Styela clava: one gene and its partner. The protein of the gene in region 2 purifies or fractionates together with the protein of the main gene of each other region. This does not show direct contact. Links are inferred from orthologs where the notes say so. Each region holds a gene or a part of one and is shown on either strand. Other genes may lie near its edges. The genes, in order: N-alpha-acetyltransferase 15, NatA auxiliary subunit-like; N-alpha-acetyltransferase 50-like.

Region 1 (10,143 bases), on a different chromosome or scaffold from region 2:
CCACAGGGCAATCTACTTATCCAGCTTCTATTTGTGGATCAATGTACCTGCAAGGCTGATATAGTAACAATACAAGAGTCTAACCGCACACCAACACCAATGCAAAATAGTTGGAGTGACACTGTCACAGGCACGACTCTTATACCAATTATAAAACTATCTTCTCTGTGGTGAAAGTAACTCCATACCAAAATAGTCTCATACATCAGCTGCCAGGTCTGCAGTAAATTTATAATCGTTTTATTTTTGCATACCGTTCAACTCCATCAATGCATTCTTGTCTGCTACTTGGGCTTTATGTTTATTGAGATGTTCAAGTGCTCGTCCCTGCATTCCAGCTTCTATCAAAATTGTAATTTGATATAGAAGCAGCTCGCTGTATTCATAGTCACCATTTTGACCCTGTTCCAAGTAGAAATAAGAAATTTGAAAAAATATTTAACCGCACAATATTTTTAACAACTAACGCTGATATACAATTTTCCGAGCCCACATTGCCTAATCAATTTATCACACTTGAGTAAATTGACAGACAAGGTTTTCTGTACACCAAACTTCAACAAGATTTTTTTTCCAGCTCACTCAAAAGTAGGGCTAGGGTCGAGGTGAATTCCTCATTTTTTTTTCTATTCGAGCCATATGTGTCTCTTTTCATTCCGAGTGAGTGAATGAAACATGTTCCTAATTATGTGTGAGAACTCAGCGAACTGTCTGGGTAATAGATTACGCGTTTTCACTTATATTTGTCTGGAAGACCTATTACAATAAAACAATACAATTACATATCTACCAAGTATTCGAGATTCGATTCGAAAAAAATATTCGATTCAGTTCTGAAATCAACAGATGTTCAAAAATTCCCAGCCCTACTCAGAAGCACAACACTGTGAACACGACTGAAATGCTAAAAGCTAATAAAAGATACACAGTGGTGCATTATGTATCAACAAAAGCAGACGAACGATCAATGCCAATACACTAATCACAAGGCTCAGTAAAAGCTCTTAATAATAGAAAGTCACTGGCAATCATTAGAGTAGTTTTCCTCCTAACAAGACTCGAAACACATAAAAAAACTTATTTCACTCAAAAAACTTCTCAAAATTATTTCTGGCAAAACGTTACATACAAAACAAAATAATATTTTAATTTACAATATCTATTCCGAACTGAGTAAAAAACCATCATATCACCTGTTGTGTCTTTCTGAACTCCTCTAAGACTTTGAAAGCCATGTCAAAATCTTTCACAAGATGATTTGCAACTGCATAACCAATCCAAGATGCTCTTTGACCAGACTTCAACTGCAGTAGATTGTACCTTGTTTCCTGGTAAAGTGAAACAACAAGTTAACAATACTTGACTCATATATGCTTTTAAACATTCAAATCATCAGCAAGAAATCCATTGTATCGATCATAATTTAGATAAAGATAATAGCAAGGATTTGTACAAGACGTTATGTTAGAAGCTTCTGTTAGTAGCAGGAATAGTTAGTAGCAGGAATTTTTCCTTTTCAGTTTGGCACCGTCTTAGATAACAAAATAAGTTAACTTAACTGAATTTCTGAAAATTAAATTTAGATTGCTGAATATACAAAATATTCCATTTCAAACTAGACTCAGACTAGGTAATTCAGAATTTCTGGTACTCCAGGTTAGGGTTAGGCCATAATTTCAGGTACAAATACTGCGCAAGTCACTTGACTAGTCCCTGAACTCGTAATAGAACCAAAATGGGGGAAAATTGAAAAAAAAATATGGCCTAACCCTAACCTGGAACACATGCTACGTTCTGGTGTCCGCCATCTTGGTTCACATACTTCGGAAGTACCTAATTTCCAGTTTAAAACTCACCAGTAATCGATTTCCCTACCAATTGCGTCCCAGAAAATTTAAAAAACTGTTATATACAAACCTTATATCCTTCCAAATCTCTCATATGAACTTGCAACATAGATAAATCCCTCAGAATGTGAAGATTGTCCTAAAAAACAATAAAATATTATATATCATATATATGTAATTGATCAGGATCAGCATATTACCCCATGAAAATAAATTATGTATCATGATTAAAAATTATTCTCTGATGGTAATCATGAAGTGATATATCTGTGTATTTTGCACAATTACCCTATTGCAGGGGTGGGCACAATTTTTCAGTTTAAGAGCCGCATGCTGTAAGTCAGAACTTTAAAAGAGCCGCAGAATTTGTGAATTTATTAATATTATCAAAATACCATGAACAGAAAAGAAATTCACACAAGAGTCTAATAACAATAAATAGATAAACAAGGCAGCTATACTCAAATATATGCACAATTTAAGTTCATTTAATTTGTGTTTCCTTATAGCTGATTTAGGAGGGTAGTCTCGTAAGAAGTTTTCATGATTCGTTTCATGGTGCCGTTTATCATTGCTGACTTTATTCTGACTTAGTAGCTTATGACAGATTAAGCACAAAAGTTTATTCTTCTGACTGGTAAATTCGTACGTTCTTCCCATTCTGACTTGACAACTCTGTTTTCATCTTCGTACTTTCATTTTTAATTGAGGACATATTGCACAGTAACTTAGTTAGACTAACTAACCGCAATCAAGCTTCAATACCGCCGACGCATCAATAAACATTGACCATTGTGACGAAAGATTTGCTGACTTGACTGACTTAAATTCAAAATTCAACTCTACAGCAATTTTCATACTAAAACATAATTTGTCCTAATCATTGACGAAAACTTCTTTACGACTTTTAATAAATTAAAAGAGTTTACATTGAAGTTTTTCTCTTAGTTGAAATTTGGATAATATTTTATGTTAGCGAGAAGAGCCGCACAAAAAGTCTGGCGAGCCGCGGTTTGCCCACCCCTGCCCTATTGCAACAAAATTCATAATTATAGACTTCCTTTTTGAAATATTTGTAGTTTTGAAAATAATGAGAAAAGACTCACATTCGCTGACAAAAGAAACTCTTGACTAAATCAACTTTAATAAATAATAAAAACATATACACACATATATATATATATATATATATATACCTTTTCCCATCTGAGAGCGTTTCTGTAACATTTTATTGCTTCATCATATTTTTTATCAGATCTTTGCAGCAGACCGTAGACGTGCCAACAGACATGAGATGTTAAATCATTTTTTAATCCGCGTTTCACAAGTTCATATGCTTCTTCCTTTCTATTTAGACAGTTGAGCGTGAGCCCTTTCATCGCCAATGTTTCTGTAATTAATTATGATAATTCAAGACCATGAAGTACAATTTCTCAAACACGAAAAGTTTGACATCTACAAGATCTACAAGATAAGCCAAATGTTCATAGTAGTCAAATTAAGGTGAGGATTGTAACGATCACATTTTTGAACAATGTTTTCTGTTATGATTTAAAAGATGGGATAATTCTTGTATAATGTTATTACTATTATTGAACCTATACTAAATTATATGTTAACAATGATATTGACAAAAAAAGCTCCTGTCATACTGCGTTACAGATTAGCTCACTTGGTGTTCTAGTTACTTATCGATTTTAATCGGTAAGTATGTTGATAGCTATTTGTCTGTATGTCTGTCTGTTAGATGCATGCGATCGCCGATATCTCACGAAAGCGAGATTGAATCTGCTCCAGATTTTGCATGTGCATTCATCATATTTCGGACCAGAAGCCTATTGATTTTGGATGAATTATGTGTATAATCAGCGAGTTATTAATTAATTAGTAATGGGACACAAGGTGTCACTACGAAGTAAGAGCGCTGTTTTGGGGGATCCCCTAACTTTCAATCGATACCGTAAGTCTTCGGTCTCTGACCAATATTCCCGTTATACTAGTAATCAGCCAGTCAAGGTCTACAAATTGCATGAATTATGCCGAATTCTAGTATTCTTTCTCTCGTTGACTGTTTGGGACCTAAATGGATAAATTCAAAATAGAAATGATAAAATTCAAACAAACCTCCATGTTCTGCAAATTTTGGATTAGAAAGAATCTGTTTTGCAAATTTCAGTCCATTTCTGTACTGTTTCTGTTCGTAACATTTCTAAAAATATAGGAACATGATGTTATTCATATAAAATAAATATAAAATTTGTTTCCATAAGGAAAAGAATAAACAATGCAAAACAATATTCAGTCAGATAACAAAAATAGTGTTTTCAGTAATGATAGTAAAAACTGGAAAACCCCAAATTCGAAGCTTTGTGCTCAAGGCAAGAAATGCTGTTATATTTCAACTTAGCAATGAATAAATTTTTCATATTTAGCTAATTAGTAATAATAAACAGGCGAATGGCAAAAGCATAAACATAAAAAAAACTACTATTTCACCAATAAGTGACTAACAGTTGAGGTTGCGTGAAACTAACTACATTTCCTTGCTCTCTATGCCTTTGCGCAGGTGGATCCGTATGCGTATTACGCAAGGATGCTGTAGCAAGAGTGTAAATGGACTATATGGTTTACAACTATAAAATGCTTGTCTGAAGAAGTCTGACCTTGGTCAGACGAAACGTTACAGAAATACATTTGTGTTCGTGTGCAGCAAGACTCTTGAATTGAATCACCAATAAGACATTTAGAATTATATATACCGTAATATGAATTACATACTTTGAAATTGAAGATTTATTGTAAAATAATTCTCAGAGGAGATATCGGACTACTCACCAATATCCTGTTAAATAGCGTCTTTTCCTTGGGTGGCAATGGCTGTTTGGTAGGCATTTTGAAATTATTGATGAAAAACCTACTGGCTTATCAATTCAATTGCTCTTCTATTGATCAGATATGACGCAGAGTTAAATTCCGAACTTTAAGGCCTAATCGGTAAGTTTAACAACAACTTGACAACCATCTCCTATGAAATTTTTAATAAATTATATATTAGTTAACAGCAAAATTAATTTGATTGCTAGTAGGGATGCCACTTTCGGATTTACGAATCGGATCGATTCGAATCGCATCTTTTCCGAATCGATTCGAATCAGATTTACGCGATTCGGAAAAAGAGAGCGATTTAGCGAAAAAAAAACATTGAACGTTTGTTAAATCGTCGTTTTCGGCGGCTTTAAATCTGCCAGAGTGTGTTTATGCGGCACTCCAAATAACGCCAAATTACGGGACCGAAAAAAATACATTGAACGTGTGTTAATCGTTGTTTTCGGCGGTGTTAAAACTACCGAATGCGTTTATGCAGCACTCCAAATAACACCAAATTACGGGACCGAAAGAAAAACATTGAATATTTGTTAATCGTTGTTTTCGGTGGCGTTTAAACTGCCGAATGCGTTTATGCGGCACTCCAAATAGCAATAAATTACGGGACGTAAATAAATGAAAATGAATTTTTCGTGATTGACTTTTTTACTTGTCTGCCGTCATTTGTTTGAAGTTCGACACAACACACTCTTTTACGCATCACTCGAGATGATGTGTGGCGTAATTACCAGCAAACTGCGAGTTCAGTTTTCCACTAAATAGCCGAAGTTTCCATTATGCGCGAATTCAAATGGATCGTATACCTGAAAATTCGTGACAATTTTGATGAAAATTTTCAACAGCACACCTGCGCTGCCACTAAGTTATTGTACGCCCTGGCATGATTGGATAAAGAATCGGCTACCGACGTCTAGATAATGTTTAATTTTGATTGAAATTTAATTTAAACTTTGTTCTGAGAGCAATATTTCGCGTACATTTGAAGAGAACTATTGCTGAATGAGTTCATCGGCCGGCAATGTTAATTTACAATCATGTATCTCATCCTAAAATATATTTTTATTTTGTTTGCGTTTGTCAGGCTTCCACTCGAGTGGCGGTAAACGAAATCAGGGGGACATAATGTAATAGTACATACACGTCTTTTTTCAGCTGTTACCAAAAAAAGTAGTATTTACTTTTAATTTTGTTAGCGCGATACAAGCGGATAAAACATTTCGGATTATTTCGAGCAAATGTCATAACGGACAGGTGGGAGTAAATAATACTTGAGGAATGGCAACTTGTGCACTGTTTTACATCAACACGTGGCAGATTTCATACCAGACCGAGCATACGGTGCGAATGTCGTCTTACTTTAGCCCCAGCGACCATGTTTGATCGAGATAAAGCGTCAACCAATTATCGCTAGTCAGCGCGGCGTCCATTATGCACATTTGGACTTTCTGAATTACGAAATTAAACGTAGTCCACATTAATAATGAAGCCCGAGTTAGCCAATAACGCTGTTTGCCACAAATAATACTGTCTCTAATATTTATGGTAATTTTTGTTCGCAATCGTAGTCGGATGAACGATTGTTTTTATCGAAATTAATTTAATTTAATCGTGGTAATTTTATCGTCTTCAATCATATTCTTGTAAGCATTTCCCATTTATAGTAATTCAGATGCAATTAGAATGTTTTTGTCGTATTACTCTATGCTGCTAGCATAAATATAAAATATTGTACTAAGATTTTGAAGATAAAGAATCGGTAATAAGGCCGTCCCTAATTCAATATAACAAGAAGGGAAATACCACGGTCACATATACTGGTGTGGGACAAGGGAAAGCAGTGCTGTTACTGTGTTTACGACATAACAGTACAACTGTTCCCTGCTTATTTTCTCATATGAATTCCATCAAATTGCCTCAGCCCTGATACAAGTATAACACAATAACTCAGTATTGTAAGACTCACAGATAAGTTGCAACAGCAAGTTTTTCATCAATGCATTTATTAGTGATATCTATGACCTACATCTTTTTTATCATGATGAAAATAAGTGTGGCTTATTCACTGAAAAACCCTCATCACCCTTGCTATATAGCCTATTCCATTTTCAAATTTTTTTCTTCTAGATTTGAGCTTTTTTGTGAGTTTGGCCAAACATACGCATGTAATAAAAAAAAAAAGCTTAATGGAATCAGATTCGGAAAGATTCGATTCGAAAAGTTTTGATTCGAGATTCGATTCGAAAAAAAATGTATCCAGAAGTGGCAACCCTAATTGCTAGTAATTATGAAATACTGTAGCATATATGATGCAAAATAGATGTAGAACTCTACCAAACAAGTGCTGAAGTGAAAGATAAAATAAAAAATTATTGACAGAACTGTTGAGTTCGCAGAAATTAGAGTATGCTGGAGAAATTAGAGTGGAGATTTTGAAGAAATAAAAATTTCAGTTGAACATCAGACTTGATTAACATAATTTTTTTCCCAGTATAGATAATGTTTTTTCAGATTAGGCATGAGGGTACAGAATAAACAAAGAAAATTGAGCTGTAAAAAATCCTGCAGTTGAATGATGAACACCCGTAAATCTTAGGCTGTTGGTTAACCTCAAGCCTAATCTGAAAAAACATTATCTATGCTGTGAAAAATCATTGCATTGAACCATATCCATCAATAAACTACTTATTAAATTATTATAAGTAATTTGTAAGTGGGTTTATTTTGAATTCATAATTTGCATTGAACTGATACATGAACAATAAAAACAAGAATGAAAAGACCATTAGAATGTGAGGCATTGGAAAATTGAAAATTCCAAACTGAGCGACATATTACCATGAGAGATTGCAAGAAAAATTGAAAGTTGATGTGTTTAAATATATGTATTTATAGCCCAAGTGCAATCTCCTGGGTATTGGATGAGGGATGAGAGTCAAGCCACATCACATGGCCAAATGTTAATAATTAAAAATATGTATGTCTGTCTATGTATAGTATAAATCAAAAATACACATAAACAAATGTGTCTCATTTCAAATGAAATGAAATGTAAGAGTCTATAAAATTTATGTCTTAACTTAGAACTCATAAGAAAATATCAGACAAAAAAATAGCATTCTCAATAATAGCATTAAACAACTTGATGTCTAAAACTAGTCTACTGAAATATTCAAATTGATACCAAATTAACAACAACAAAATTAACGACAAAAATTCTAGTTTGTTATCAATTTAAAATCTAACCATAATGTATTCATACCGCAAAAACATCTGATGATTAAATTGACATATCATAACAATGAATCTAAATATAAAGTCTAGCGGATATCGCCCAATATTTTCGCCATAAACAAATTGTATAAAATTATTTAGCCACTGATAAACAATTTGCAAATTATTTTTTTGCAACTCAGTTATATTTAAGGATAGTTTTTTTATTCAAAATACAAATTTGAATAAGGAGTTTAACATATATTGTTAATACATTGAATTAATTGAAATTAATGTTCAATATTGAAATGACTAACAAGATTAACGATTGATATTGGAATAGCGAATAATTAAAAATATTTCACTAACTCTTATCTAAAAACACAAGGCATACTGGTAATGCAATAAGAATATTAAAAGCAGGTGAGGTACCGTGTTCATAAATAAAAACTATGTTTCATGGCCCAACTTGAATAACTGCATATAAAATCAATTACTAAATGTGGTAGACAGGTAAGTACAAGTGACACAGTCAGACAGTGGGAGTTATTTTTAACTGGTATTTTTAGAAGTACAGCAAACCAGATATTTTTTATGGAATTTGCTATTAAACCAAGTTCAGAAGTTCATGACCACCCGAAAAAAATTAAGCTAAAATCAGCAAAGTCTGAAAGTGCACTAATTTCTGAATTATCTTATCTATAGCCTAATTCCTGATACTGTGATATGACTTCTGTTGAGTTAATACTGAAATAAGGTACCATAAATCTGCAAGTTACAACTGTACAAGTGGGCCTATCGCCCTTCTCTTTGCCACCAGCCCATTCTCACTAATTAAAGCACTAGATTTCAACCCATGCTGCCATGATCTCACACAAACAGACAAAATACTGTGATTACTGGATTATGGGTTCCCCGACGACAAGCGTATTTCCGCCTTAAAAGCAAACCCATGGAATTTACACAATCAGACAGCAGGTTAACGCGCCTAAACTTGTAAGAAACTCAAAATACTGAAATAGGCATATAGCAGTCGGGTCTCATGTAGTTAGGTTTAACTTATCAATCAATCAATCAATTTTATATGCTGAAAAATACCGGTACGGTAGTGACATATGCAAATTCAGAAATTGCTGAATTGTAGGAGCACCATATTAGTCGAGTCATTTTAGCGCATAAACTGACGAGAATATTTCATTCTGACGCCAGTAAATCTTACAAAGGAAAGGCGTGCGCACCAGGAAGATAGCATGAGATTTCGACGGTTTTCGCCTCAGCTGTTATCCGTACTTTTCCTTTGCGCAAGGTTTCACGCTTCATATATTTTTTTCTGACATCACAATGAATACCAACACCCCACGTGCAAATTTGCCAAAATGGAGAAGTAGCAGACAAGAGCTATGATAGGTGTACAGGTGAGGTAACACGTTATTATATGTCGATATTGTACACGAAATGAACAAATATATTGTTTTGTTGTTGAAAACGAAATGGACCTATGAATTATTTTGTCGTTGGAAACGAAGTCCCCTATGGATCGTTTTGGTATTTTTGTTGTTGGAAACGAAATGAACCTATGGATCGTTTTGTTATTTTTTTGTTCTTGATTTTTATATATAGTAACCTATATAATTTTACACATGTCCCCTAGACCATAGGTTCTCAAAGTGCTCCGTACGGAGCCCCAGGGCTCCGCGAGAGAAACCCAGGGGCTCCGCGAGCTATTCGATTACTTTTCAAAATAATGACTAGTTTTGTAACTGTTCAAAGAAGCAATAACAACTTTGATAAAATGTGACAACAATATAGCCTCGAAATATGGCAAAGAGGCGGAATTAAAAAATGACATTATTTATAAGCTGCAGCGCAGCCAGGATTCTCAAGAGGTGGAGATTTGAATCGGAAATTTCCGCGCAACATTCTTTGCGATTATAAAAAACGGATAACGAGATTTCTGTTGCGTAAAATATTCAATGTATGGCCGATGCGAGCATTTATAGTGTCTTGTCGTAATAATTCAATTGTACTCATAGTTACTCGAGTTTCATTCGAGATTACTATTAGGATTACTAAAATGAAAGAATACTATTCTAAAAATTCATAAAATACGTGATAAACTGCCAACTATAAATAAATTGGAGTCGTATTTTTGCGATCTTGGAATTTGTCAAACTTGATTTGTTCTTTTGCACTCGAGATT
Region 2 (11,317 bases):
ATAACTCAATATACTAAAATTGATGAATTGTATGCCGATGCGATCAACACCTCGTCCTCAAACACTGATGGAATGGACATATGAAAAATGAATATTGGATTATTTATCTTATGATTGATCGAATGGTTATATACTTTTGGTTATATTTTATTAAATTATCCCATAAAATAAAAAATGCAGAAGTATCGGTACTAAAATATAACTGTGGGTATGATTGGCCGATATAGTACCACATTTCTCTTTCATAACTGATGAGCTTGTACCTAAACACAGTAATATCAATACGAAAATCAGTTCCTCAATTTGAACGTACATCAGGACATCGAAGTGCAGGAGTTCTTTTCACTTCTGTATTGAGATCAAATATATTTAAGACAATAATTGCACATTTTTTAAACCTGTGTCTATGTGTATGTATCTATTTTATGACTTTATGATGTAAGAAAGAAATATGTTTTTTAATTATAATACCTTAAGAGGCTAGGTTAAATCAATATTTAGAACGTTAATAAAAAGTGTATATTCTTTTACAGTTTTACTGGTTTTGGGGCAATACTGAATAATATTTTCTTATTTTTCGATAACTATTTTGTATCATTGGCTAAAAGTAAACTAAAGACACCTCATTTAAGTACTGATTTTGGTGAATAAAGCAATAGGATAGGAGAAAGAATTTTTGGATCTTATGTAGTTTCGTACCTAACATACTTCTAGTAGGCGTAGCATACCAATCTTTTTACGTGTCAATCCTGACCCTCACCTGACCACACCATCCAAAAATGAGGTCACTACGACATCACAATGACATAATAGAGCCCTTCAAACTATACGAACTGTCATCTAAGACGCGCAGACAAAAACCCGAAATCGAATAGCCATTTCTCTCGTTTCTCGTCGCAACGATCCCGATGTCAGCTCTTTATCGTCGGCGCCGATGCCATTTACTGGCGATCGGATGAGTATCTTGCAAGCTCTATGACGTGATTGCGACGCCATAGTGACGTAATTTTTAAATGGCGTAGTCAGGTGAGGGTTAGGATTGGCATGTCAAAAAATTGTTATGCTACGCCTACTCGAATTTTTATGGATAGGAAAGGAGAAATCTTATAAGATATGGCTTTATTATTCGATGAACATTGGGAAGATAATGGATGTGCTGGGCAATCAGGATCGCTTTCAATAATCGTCAAAGTCAAATAATAGTTATTGATTTACCTAAGCTTAAATATTGGAGTTAGGAAAAGGTACACAGTGGGTCACTTACTTCTTTTTTCATGCCATGAGTAGTTCACAAACTCTGAATGGATATTCTGTCATAATTCATATAACATTTTTATCCTTTCAATTCTTGTAATCTAGAGATATGTTATGGTTTTAATAATAAGCTATTAGCACTGGCAAAAAGCAATGGCGCATGGTTCATCAACCCAAGGTTTCCATGAGTTTAAATACGGGGATTTCACAGACAAAGTTGAAATTGGGGATGGAGATTATGGTGTCGTATATGCAGCTAGGCACCGTATGTTCAATAAAGTTGCTATTAGAATCATATCGCGCCAACATCATGTCTCAGAAGGAGAGCGAAATTCTTTAATAACTGAAGCCAAAAAGTTGTCTTCGATTGTATCTGGGAATGTCATTCGTTTACTGGGTACAGTTATAGAGCCGGGGCATTTATGTCTCGTGTTTGAATATGCTGAATATGGATCGCTCACTAAACTTTTGCAACGGTATGATATTCCTTGGCCCTTGAAAACTCGAATATCGCATGAAGTTGCAATGGGAATGTGTTTTCTTCACCAGAAGGACATCTTGCATCTATTGTTAAAGTGTACAAACATACTTGTCACTGGCAATGTTCAAGTCAAAATAACTGATATAGGTCTCAGTGGAAACATAGAAATGAATAACTGGACAAGATGTGGTAGAATTTATAGCCAAACCTTGCGATCAACACAAAGAAGATCTGGGGGCAGCTCGATAAGTCATGTACCCCCTGAGCTTATCAGAGATGTAAATGCTGCTGCTGACAAATCCGCCGACGTATATGCATATTCTATCGTCCTGTGGCAGATTCTAACCAATAAGATACCGTATGAAGGTAAAGATACAGGTGCAATTTGTGTTGGTGTTTTGGAGGGCGAAAGACCGGATATCTCAATTATAAGTCGTGAACATCCGGAAGTGTTATCTGATGCTATGAAAAAATGTTGGCAGGACGAGAAACAAAACAGACCCACATTTGAGGATCTTGTTCGTCGAATTGGGCCAGTGTCTGCTAATTGTGAGGATGCTTCAAGAAAGGCTGCCCTCGAGTGTCAAAAAAATGTTCAAGATTTTTATTTTCCTGACTCGGAAATAGCAGCGCCTACAGGAGATCAGCAGCCTGCAAGGCATCACCATAGGCGATTGGATGCTCCATCTCATATCGGGAGAGCTAATGCAAATGATGGCGTTGCTGTACCAATGCAGAGAAACGATGACACAGTTCCTTTCCAGAATTCAGCATCTTCACAGCCAAAGCCTGTTATGGTTTCATTGATTGTTCCTGTAACCGATCCTCAGATGGAACTCAGTCGCTCAGTGTCGGTACCACCTCCAGATAATAAAGCTCCGCCAATTGCACCAAATCCAACATTATCAGAGGAAAAATATTCGAAGTTTGTTGGTGTTGATGAACTGTATCTAGTCGCCGAAGAACTTGGCCGTCATTGGCGAAGATTCGGTCTTTACCTAGGATTTAGTGATGCCCAACTTGATAATATTGAGGCCAATTTTCACAAGCATGGATTCCCAGAGATTACTTATCAAATGCTAAGAAGATGGAAAGAAAGAAATGGAAATGTTACAGTGGGGTTTCTTTTTAACACACTTCGTGATGCTGACTTATTGCATGTTGCACAAAAATTGGCTTAATCAGTTTGTAAATAAATGTAACTGGGAAGGATGGATTAGCACTGATTATATTATGTATATGGTGACCCTTAAAAAAACAGAACCCATAAGTTTGTTGATAACTTCTACAGAATTTGAACAAAACGTCCTAGATTCCTGAAATGATTTGGTACAAACCTACACAAACAGAAGTTCAAGTATAAACAAAATCAAATAATTTACTCCATTTTCACAGAGTAATTAGGAAATTTATGGATTCTGTTTTTTCAAGTGACCTTGTACATTATGGCATTGCCTCAATAGCATATGCTTTTGTGGTATCAATTAGACTTTTTTGAATATTGAATAGGAAGCGAACGTTACATTTTTAAAAAATAAATAAATTTTTTATTGATTGATTTGATTAATAATTTTTTTCACGGTAGCAAGTTCACTTTCTCAATAATATTTCTTCAAGAAAAGTTCCAGAATTTTTTATCCAAATATTTTGTAACCCTTTGTCATTAAATTCTCTGTAATGACATATTTTCTTAAACATATAATGTCTTTGATTATTGTATCCACTCGTAATCATGTATACCTTTCTGATTTTATTGTATATTTGATATAATTTTTTTGTTTGTTTTAAATACATTGTTCACTAGTTTTTATGCAATGTTCACTTAGTAATCTCCTTGATGAAATTTAGTAATTTGAAAGTTATAATTTTTTTTCTAATTATCGAAAATCACTGGCGCTAGTTAATTCTCCCTCTTTATTCAACTGCTATAATAGTAGATATATTCGTAAGCTTTCAAAGCGATCGAAGTCTAACTACATCGGACAAAACAAGATGTAACTGTGAAGACAGATCATAAAAATTCTTAGGACCGAATTTCCATCCTAAACTAGAAAATATGTCTATATTGGTTTATCATTTTTTACGTTAAATGTCCTGCTTTAGGGTATAGTTCTAAAAATTTTTTCCAATTCATATGACAAGTAGATAGCAGATATCATAAGAATTATTATGTCCCGTCCTTTTTTCATCTGTTATGGAATGAGTATTTTTGCTCTGCCTGTCTTTTTTGGCTCTGTCAGTGGCTTTGACAAGATGTGTTTTTCAGCAATTCCTAACAAATATATCTATATCTACATAATCCATGCTACTCTTCTGGTATGTGTTCTTCAGGTACCAGGATGTGTTGATGGGTGTCTGTTTACTTAGAGTAAACTTCCTGTTCCTAACCTATTATCCACCAGATGATGCATTGTGTTTAAGAATGGCAGGGAGTGTTTGAAATTAAACTTAATGAGTGAATGGTAGCAGTATTGTATATATTTTTTTAAGTCTTATAATTTTGATGTCCTAGTTATGTTATGAATCTTTTGTAAAAGCGTAAGTCAAAAATCTCCAAATATCCCAGTTTCAATTATGGCCATGGAACAGCTCAAATATTTGGTCACCAATTTGGTTGGATGTCTCTTGAATTTGTGGGAAATTTTGTTATTAAATTCAAAGTTGCAAGATAAAACCTTTATTGTTAGGTTTATTATGTCTTCAAAATTTTGGATTTTGTTGATTTCGGTACTATCATTTATATATTGCAGTATGTCTACTGTGGTGATGTGTCGCAATATGTGATGATGGATCTGGAGATGTGATTTTGTCTATGTGTCAATTTCAATATAATACAACTGCAATAACAATATACAAATAAAAAACAGGAACTATAAAAACGGACTAACTTTATAGACATTCTGATAAACCAGCATGAATAGCCGAGACAACAATAGCCAGATGTTTCTTATCACATAGTTTTCTAGTTTTCAATCCTGAAAATCTTTGTTTTTACAATGATGCTTGTGTGCCTAAAGTACTTTATAAAGAATATGACTTAATGAAAGCTTACAAATATGCTTGCTATTTTGTGGAGGAATATCATGGTATTCTTCATTCTCCAGGAATGCTATTGGGTAAACGTGTAGGCTATATGATTTTCTAAAATTTATGTGGGTGCTACACTGCAACTAGTGTTTTGTTCGCTAACTGTCATATTTTATTGATGAAATTTTCATTCAATATTCTGAAACTCATTATTCAACAAATTGCTGCTCAGAAGTAATTCACTTTATTTTGAACCGGTAATTTCTCAGCCTGTGTTTTAGCTGTGATGTAGGCACATTTATAAATGAATATATATTTCGAATTCCCAAGTATATTCTTTTACAAAGTTTGAACCTGAATTCAATAACTGAAGTTTTGTGCGACTTTGTGTGTTTTCAAATCTATATTTGTTTCAATTTTTTTTGTCTTCATTTTTCTTGTATATTTGTCACTATCCATATAGTTATTACCTTGACAGATAAGATGAAATGAAGTTACTAGGCCTACTACTAATTTGGTTCTACAACACTGGTATAAAAACAGTAGCAAAAATCTTGCTTGTGAATTTGTTGATTTAAATTCAATGAATAATAAAGCAAAGTATTAGATTATATATATATTATATATATAACAGCACTGCTTAACAAAGGTATTGTTATAATCTGTTTTATTCATTTGGATTTTGTGTCACTTATGTATGAACATTTGTTTTTTTTTATCAATAAATGCAAAATTGTTGAAAGCCACTGGTCATACCAACTATTCAATCAGTGTATTTTATTAGTTTTTCTCTATCATGTGTTTGTAAATGCATATATTTCTGTATACTTATCTACAATCTGATAATATACAAACTTGCAAAAAAGGTGAAATGAAAATCGTTCATGTTTTATTCATTTACAATTTTCTTACCTTATGCTGATTTTTGTTTCTCTGTTTCAATTGGATTTTTAATGAAATATTTGTCCAAGGCAAAGTTACAAAATCTCAAATAAGACTTTGATCTAGTAGTCTCTACATTTCCTTACATTTTAACTTACTTCCCTATTGTTCTTGGAGAGTCCACAATTTTTTTTTCTCACTATTGGAAACAAAATTCAACAATTGATGACCATTATTCATGTGCATGCTATCATTATTTTTGTCATTGTTGAAGTATGCTTGTCTGGAAAAGTATGACTTTGGTCAGAAGAAACGCTATAGAAATGCATTCGTCGTAGTGCCGCAGGACTCATGGGGTCACCATGAATATTGTCCATAGCTTGTGTTGGTGAATTGGTTCTTCCATTACTCAGAAAAATGTTGAGACCCTGATTATATGTTCTTACTGAGTTTTGTGTATTCAAATTTTTTTTTTTTCGATTCCCTTATTTTAGAATTCATACTATTTATTGTCTAATTGTGAAACAATTGTCAACAATCTTGTTCATCGACGTCAACTGCAGTGAAGGTCTGTGGAAAATTAACTAGCGTTTGAAATTTCAATGAAGAATTTGTTAGTTCCTACTGCAATGGATGGGTAAGCTATTATTTTCAATTTGTTAATCGAAAATCTTGCACTACTGACCCATGTCCAGATTTCACCAAAGGTTTCTTTCTGTTCTGTTACATCACTCTTATGCATACAAACTGATTATTTATGTTCCCTCCCTGTAATGTCAACATCCATACATCTGCAAGCCTGACATGGATTGTCGAATAATCAAAGAATTACCTTGTGTAATATTATGGTCATCTTTTACTGAGATAGTATGAATATATATCAATTTGTCATCCTTAGCATCTTTGGTGGCACCTTGCTGTTTGGTGCAAAGCTTTCTGGTACATTTCACTGTTAGATGCATGGAATTATATGTATCTTTGAGTATTTGTTCGATTTATTTAAAATTATTATTAATTTTTTTTATTTTAGAGTTCGTATTGAACTGGGAGATATCACACAACACAATATAAAACAATTGAAACTCTTGAATCAAGTTATTTTTCCAGTTTCATACAATGACAAATTTTATAAAGATGTTCTTGATGTTGGAGACTTGGCAAAGCTCGGTAAGATGATGTTTTTTCATTCAAATCACTAATGTCCAAAACTGATAATTTATACCACACAAATTATAAGCGAATTGGCATATTTTGATAGTTAAATTTTCCTTATTTTCATAAGAGACTGAAGTTATATGGCGCGGCGATGTGGCTCATCATGCTAAGTGGTAGGAATACGCTCGCCACTGCACCTCTGCGGCTTCCACCACCATCAAGTCCATGCTTCCGAAAACAAATAAGTAACTAATCCCATACCCGACATGGAATGGTAACCAGACGAGAGGTCGTGGTTCGCCATATATTAAGCCGTCTTATCGGCTTTCCTCTCACCCTGGATAAATATGTAAATCCCATCCTATCCTTATATTACACTTGAAAATCTGTGTATTTGGCATTTGAAAATACTGTTTTTCAGCATTTTTCAATGATATAGTGGTTGGTGCAGTATGTTGTCGAATAGATAATTCAAAAGGAAAAAGGAGATTATACATAATGACGCTTGGTTGCTTAGCACCTTACAGAAGACATGGTGTTGGTACAGTATTGCTCAACCATGTCTTCAAAATATGTGAAGCTGATAAAAATATTACAGCAATATTTTTGTGAGTATTTTATTTCCTGTTGTTTAGAAACAAATGTGTATTCTCAAAGGTTTGGGCTGTTTATTTTTTTTTCAAGAATACCTCGTTAATTTTGGAGAATTCTAGTTTAATATTATCAACTATTCAACCTATTCCACACTTTCAATAATGCTCCTCATGCCAAGACTATTCTAACCTTGAATATGAATTCATGACATTTTTTGTTTCAAGCGCTTCTACTAACTCCTGTTTATGATTATTATTTTCAGACACGTTCAAGTCAATAATCAATCTGCTCTGGATTTCTACATGAAATTCGGTTTCGAAATTGTTCAAACTGAAAGCCATTATTACAAAAGAATAGAGCCTTCCGATGCCTATGTATTAGAAAAAAAGCTTGAGAACTGTGCTGGAGCTACATTCAATGGGAAGCCTTGATTCCATTCAGATTGCTCAGCACTTTTCATTTGATTTATGTTCCAACTCCAGTGGTTTGGTTGAAGCTCTTCCATGCATGTTACAACAGTCTTAAATATAAAAATATTTAGTTTTATAAAAACAATGCCTTCAGTTTTGGTGTGTCGTATCTATTTAGAAAATTTTTGTCAGTACGTATGCAGCTCTGTGCATGCCAGGGAGTGTTCTCATCATTGAGTTACATTTCATTCTTGGCTATTGCTATGTAAACTGTGTTGACAAACTGAAAATACATTAGCAATTGGCTTTTAAACAAAATTCCTAAATTAGGACATGCTAAAATCTCTTGTTATATGAAAAATTTTATCTTCAATGGTGCAGTGTACAAGTTTTACAAAGTGTGAGAAAGAAAAATGCCTTGAATAATAAAATGTTTGTTCTATTCTGTATGTGTGAAAATCCCATTCTAGAAAAGTCATTTTTATTTGAACAACCCCTGCTGTTCATCTTTTCCAGTCAGCATTCCAAAGACATTTATGGGTCAATTGGGGTTGGGTATCAATTGTAATGGCATGGGACAAAATATTTCATTCATATTCACTCCTATAAACGTCTGTGTTTGAGTACAAGCCTAATTATGATTGGTCAAATGCAAGCAAAAAAGATTTTTACATAGAACTTGAGTGTTTATAATATTTTAAAATCACATTGAAGGATTCTTGTTGGCCAAGGCCTAGATGCTAATGATCTTCAGTTATATTCACTTGTTGGACACGTAGTGGACATAACAATCGTTTCAAAATTTTGTTGTTATTGTTATTATTTGTCTCCGTTAACACGTTTTGAAGAAATCGCTTTTCTCTTCGAATATTGGACCAATTGCTTTGAAATTTTCAGTGGTTGAAGATGAAAAATTACTCCAGAAGGCTATTACTTTTTTTTTCGCTATGACGTCATCCAAATTATGTGTCCATATATTTGAGCATAGCTCTCTTGTTTTATAAGTGTCGTCACAGTGTCACTAATTCATAGGTCTATATGAATATATACATTTTCGTGAGAACTCATGTGGGAATTGATAGTGTGCCTTGAAAGGTTTCATATTGAGTTTAATGCTTGACCCTGCTTGCAAGACGTATAGGTAATTGTGCACTGTACTCGCTTGTATTGAGCCCAGTGTTTGTTTGAACTTGGAACGGACTAAATATTTTATTTTTCTTGTATTTTAAAGTGAATCGCTTCAAATAAACGTCCTTGGAATTACAGCTTGGTTTATTTAGCGTTGACAGTGAGATACAAAAAATTGGATGTGTTTTTCGCATATTAGTAGTATATATTTACGATTAAAACAGCTTGAACGGTAGAGCGAAAAGGCCGCTAAATGGTGGGAAAGGAAAACGGCGGTAAATCCTAAAGAGTAACAATTCCACCAGATTTTAACTGCCGGTCGTTTATTGATATTGGTGAATGTAAGCAATTGTCAACTTCAATAATTAAAGCGAATAGGGGCTTTCATATTTGGCTAAAAGAAAGGGAAGGATGGAAACAGTTTAATGGTTTCATCACAGGCGGGTAGTCGCGCACGGTTTGAAATGTTATGACTCCTAATACAGTATATGGAGACTCGATGCACCTCTGGGAAAACCGCGGTGTTGTCAGTCTGGCTTCGAAGACTAAAAGACACTGAAATAAGAAAATTACGCGAGTGCGAACCGGCGAGAGAGTTCATGAGTTTGGGTTTGCTTGTGCTCTTTTTGATTTTCTATTCATTAGCGACGCGGGAAAATTCTTGATGAGATAACAAATGCTGGTATTTATTTTACCAAAGCATGGCGATGTTAGACAATCCAGACTGGCTCTTGGATCACATTCGCCATTCCTTCATTACAAGCGATGACACAGGAATGTGCGAAATGGTTCTTCAGGACAACGATATGATGACACTGTCACAACACAGGTTGAGAATTAAAGAGTTAAAAGAAGCTAAGCGCATTGAAAGGGCGAAAAAGAATCAAGTAAGTTTAAATTTTCTAGTAAATTCAAACAATAAAAATTTCTGAAATTGATGTCTCTTCGTTCAGACGTTCTGGTATTATTGCAAATTTAGCTTTTGATTTCTTATGAACAGTCATTGTTGAGGTAGGGGAACAGCTGTTTTATTTGATAGGTATCCTATTTCTGTATTTATCTTGAGTACGGTATCTTAACTTCTGAACTTGTATTTATGATAAAATAAATGCAATAATGGCTTAGTTCATCTGGATCTATATGATAAATATTGTGTCATTTCGCTTATTTCTGTTTTTTTAGTAAGTTTCAAAATAATATCTTAACATAGTATATTTTGTATAGTGGGTCAAACGCTAAAGACATAGAAACTCGTTGTTGTGTATGGTCCAGTATGGAATGAAGGATTGATTGACAAAAGACCCAATAATAATAATACAAGATATTTACAGAATATCATTGATATTCCAGAAAAAAGGTTTACCTGAATCATTTGGAAGATCAACACCTGTTGGATCTCCTCGAAGAACACCATCAGAATCGTCAACTACTTCATCTTCTAATCCTGTTATCGATGCTGATTCATCTGAAGCACTTTCTCCTCTTGCTCCATCACCTGATATTCTTTCTGGTTTGAAATTTTTCATGAGGCTTTTTTACCTTCATGAGCTACTACTGATACATGAGGAAGTACTATATGTTGAAGGACAGAATTGTTTTCATTGTATAGAGGGTTTTGATGGCCCAGTCTGGATTTCATGGCCTTTTTGAACGAGAAATCGGCTGTGCAATCAGAAATTCTCACGTGCAAATCTGAATTCCCGGCTTGCAATTATAGCTCACAGCGTGCAAAACAACTGTGCCCGCGTGCAATGATTTTCGACTTTAGATACTGTTCAGTACATCCCCGTAAAGTTATTGGATAGAAAATATGTTGAATCAGAACAAAATGGACATTCGACCTTTGACCCCGAATATTATTACTATACTTCGTCACTAATTTTGAGAGTGTTTGTGCAACTTTAGATAGACTTTAGGTACATCCGTGTAAAATTATTGTATAAAAAATATGTAGAATCAGAGCCGTAACTGACCAGCGCCGGCAAGTCTGGCGATCTTTTCGTCCATAACTATTCTCACGGGATTCCTATCATTCAACACGATACGCCATACCGCTAAGCAATTTTGTAATACGGTCTTTATTGCTTCGCATTTTTCGATCAGGCGAAATCTTGCAAGCTAGTATATAGTCGACAATTGTGGAGCTACAATTTGTTGGCATCTTTATATTACTGGATTATTAATTTAAAAGCCATTTAAATCAATTTTCATTGGTGAGCAATTGCAACTTTTCGGCGTGCAAAATTTAATTTGCTGGCGTGCATTTTTGCGGAGTGCTAGCGCCCTCTGGTGTGCACCTGCCATGGAATCCAGTATGGTTGATGGCCAAATCTGATAAATGGTTATAGATGATACTACTGGTGTTGAAAGCATTTTTTTCCAAATA

The links.
Region 1: the proteins of N-alpha-acetyltransferase 50-like (region 2) and N-alpha-acetyltransferase 15, NatA auxiliary subunit-like purify together in Drosophila melanogaster (affinity purification with mass spectrometry, with the first as the bait; 3 studies listed by BioGRID). This does not show direct contact. The link is inferred for Styela clava from reciprocal best matches to the Drosophila melanogaster genes san and Naa15-16.

What each region holds. Positions count from the first base shown.
Region 1 is NC_135258.1:12,776,006-12,786,148, reverse strand, and holds the start of N-alpha-acetyltransferase 15, NatA auxiliary subunit-like, read right to left. Parts: upstream 4,890-10,143; 5' UTR 4,740-4,889; coding exon 4,683-4,739; intron 4,057-4,682; coding exon 3,972-4,056; intron 3,238-3,971; coding exon 3,044-3,237; intron 1,987-3,043; coding exon 1,918-1,986; intron 1,329-1,917; coding exon 1,194-1,328; intron 403-1,193; coding exon 255-402; intron 1-254.
Region 2 is NC_135251.1:20,783,754-20,795,070, forward strand, and holds N-alpha-acetyltransferase 50-like, read left to right. Parts: upstream 1-6,116; 5' UTR 6,117-6,246; coding exon 6,247-6,281; intron 6,282-6,674; coding exon 6,675-6,811; intron 6,812-7,220; coding exon 7,221-7,407; intron 7,408-7,655; coding exon 7,656-7,824; 3' UTR 7,825-9,066; downstream 9,067-11,317. Other genes in the region: receptor-interacting serine/threonine-protein kinase 1-like, read left to right, coding at 1,408-2,916; target of rapamycin complex 2 subunit MAPKAP1-like, read left to right, coding at 9,633-9,818, 10,282-10,441. UniProt on the Drosophila melanogaster protein: N-alpha-acetyltransferase that acetylates the N-terminus of proteins that retain their initiating methionine. Has a broad substrate specificity: able to acetylate the initiator methionine of most peptides.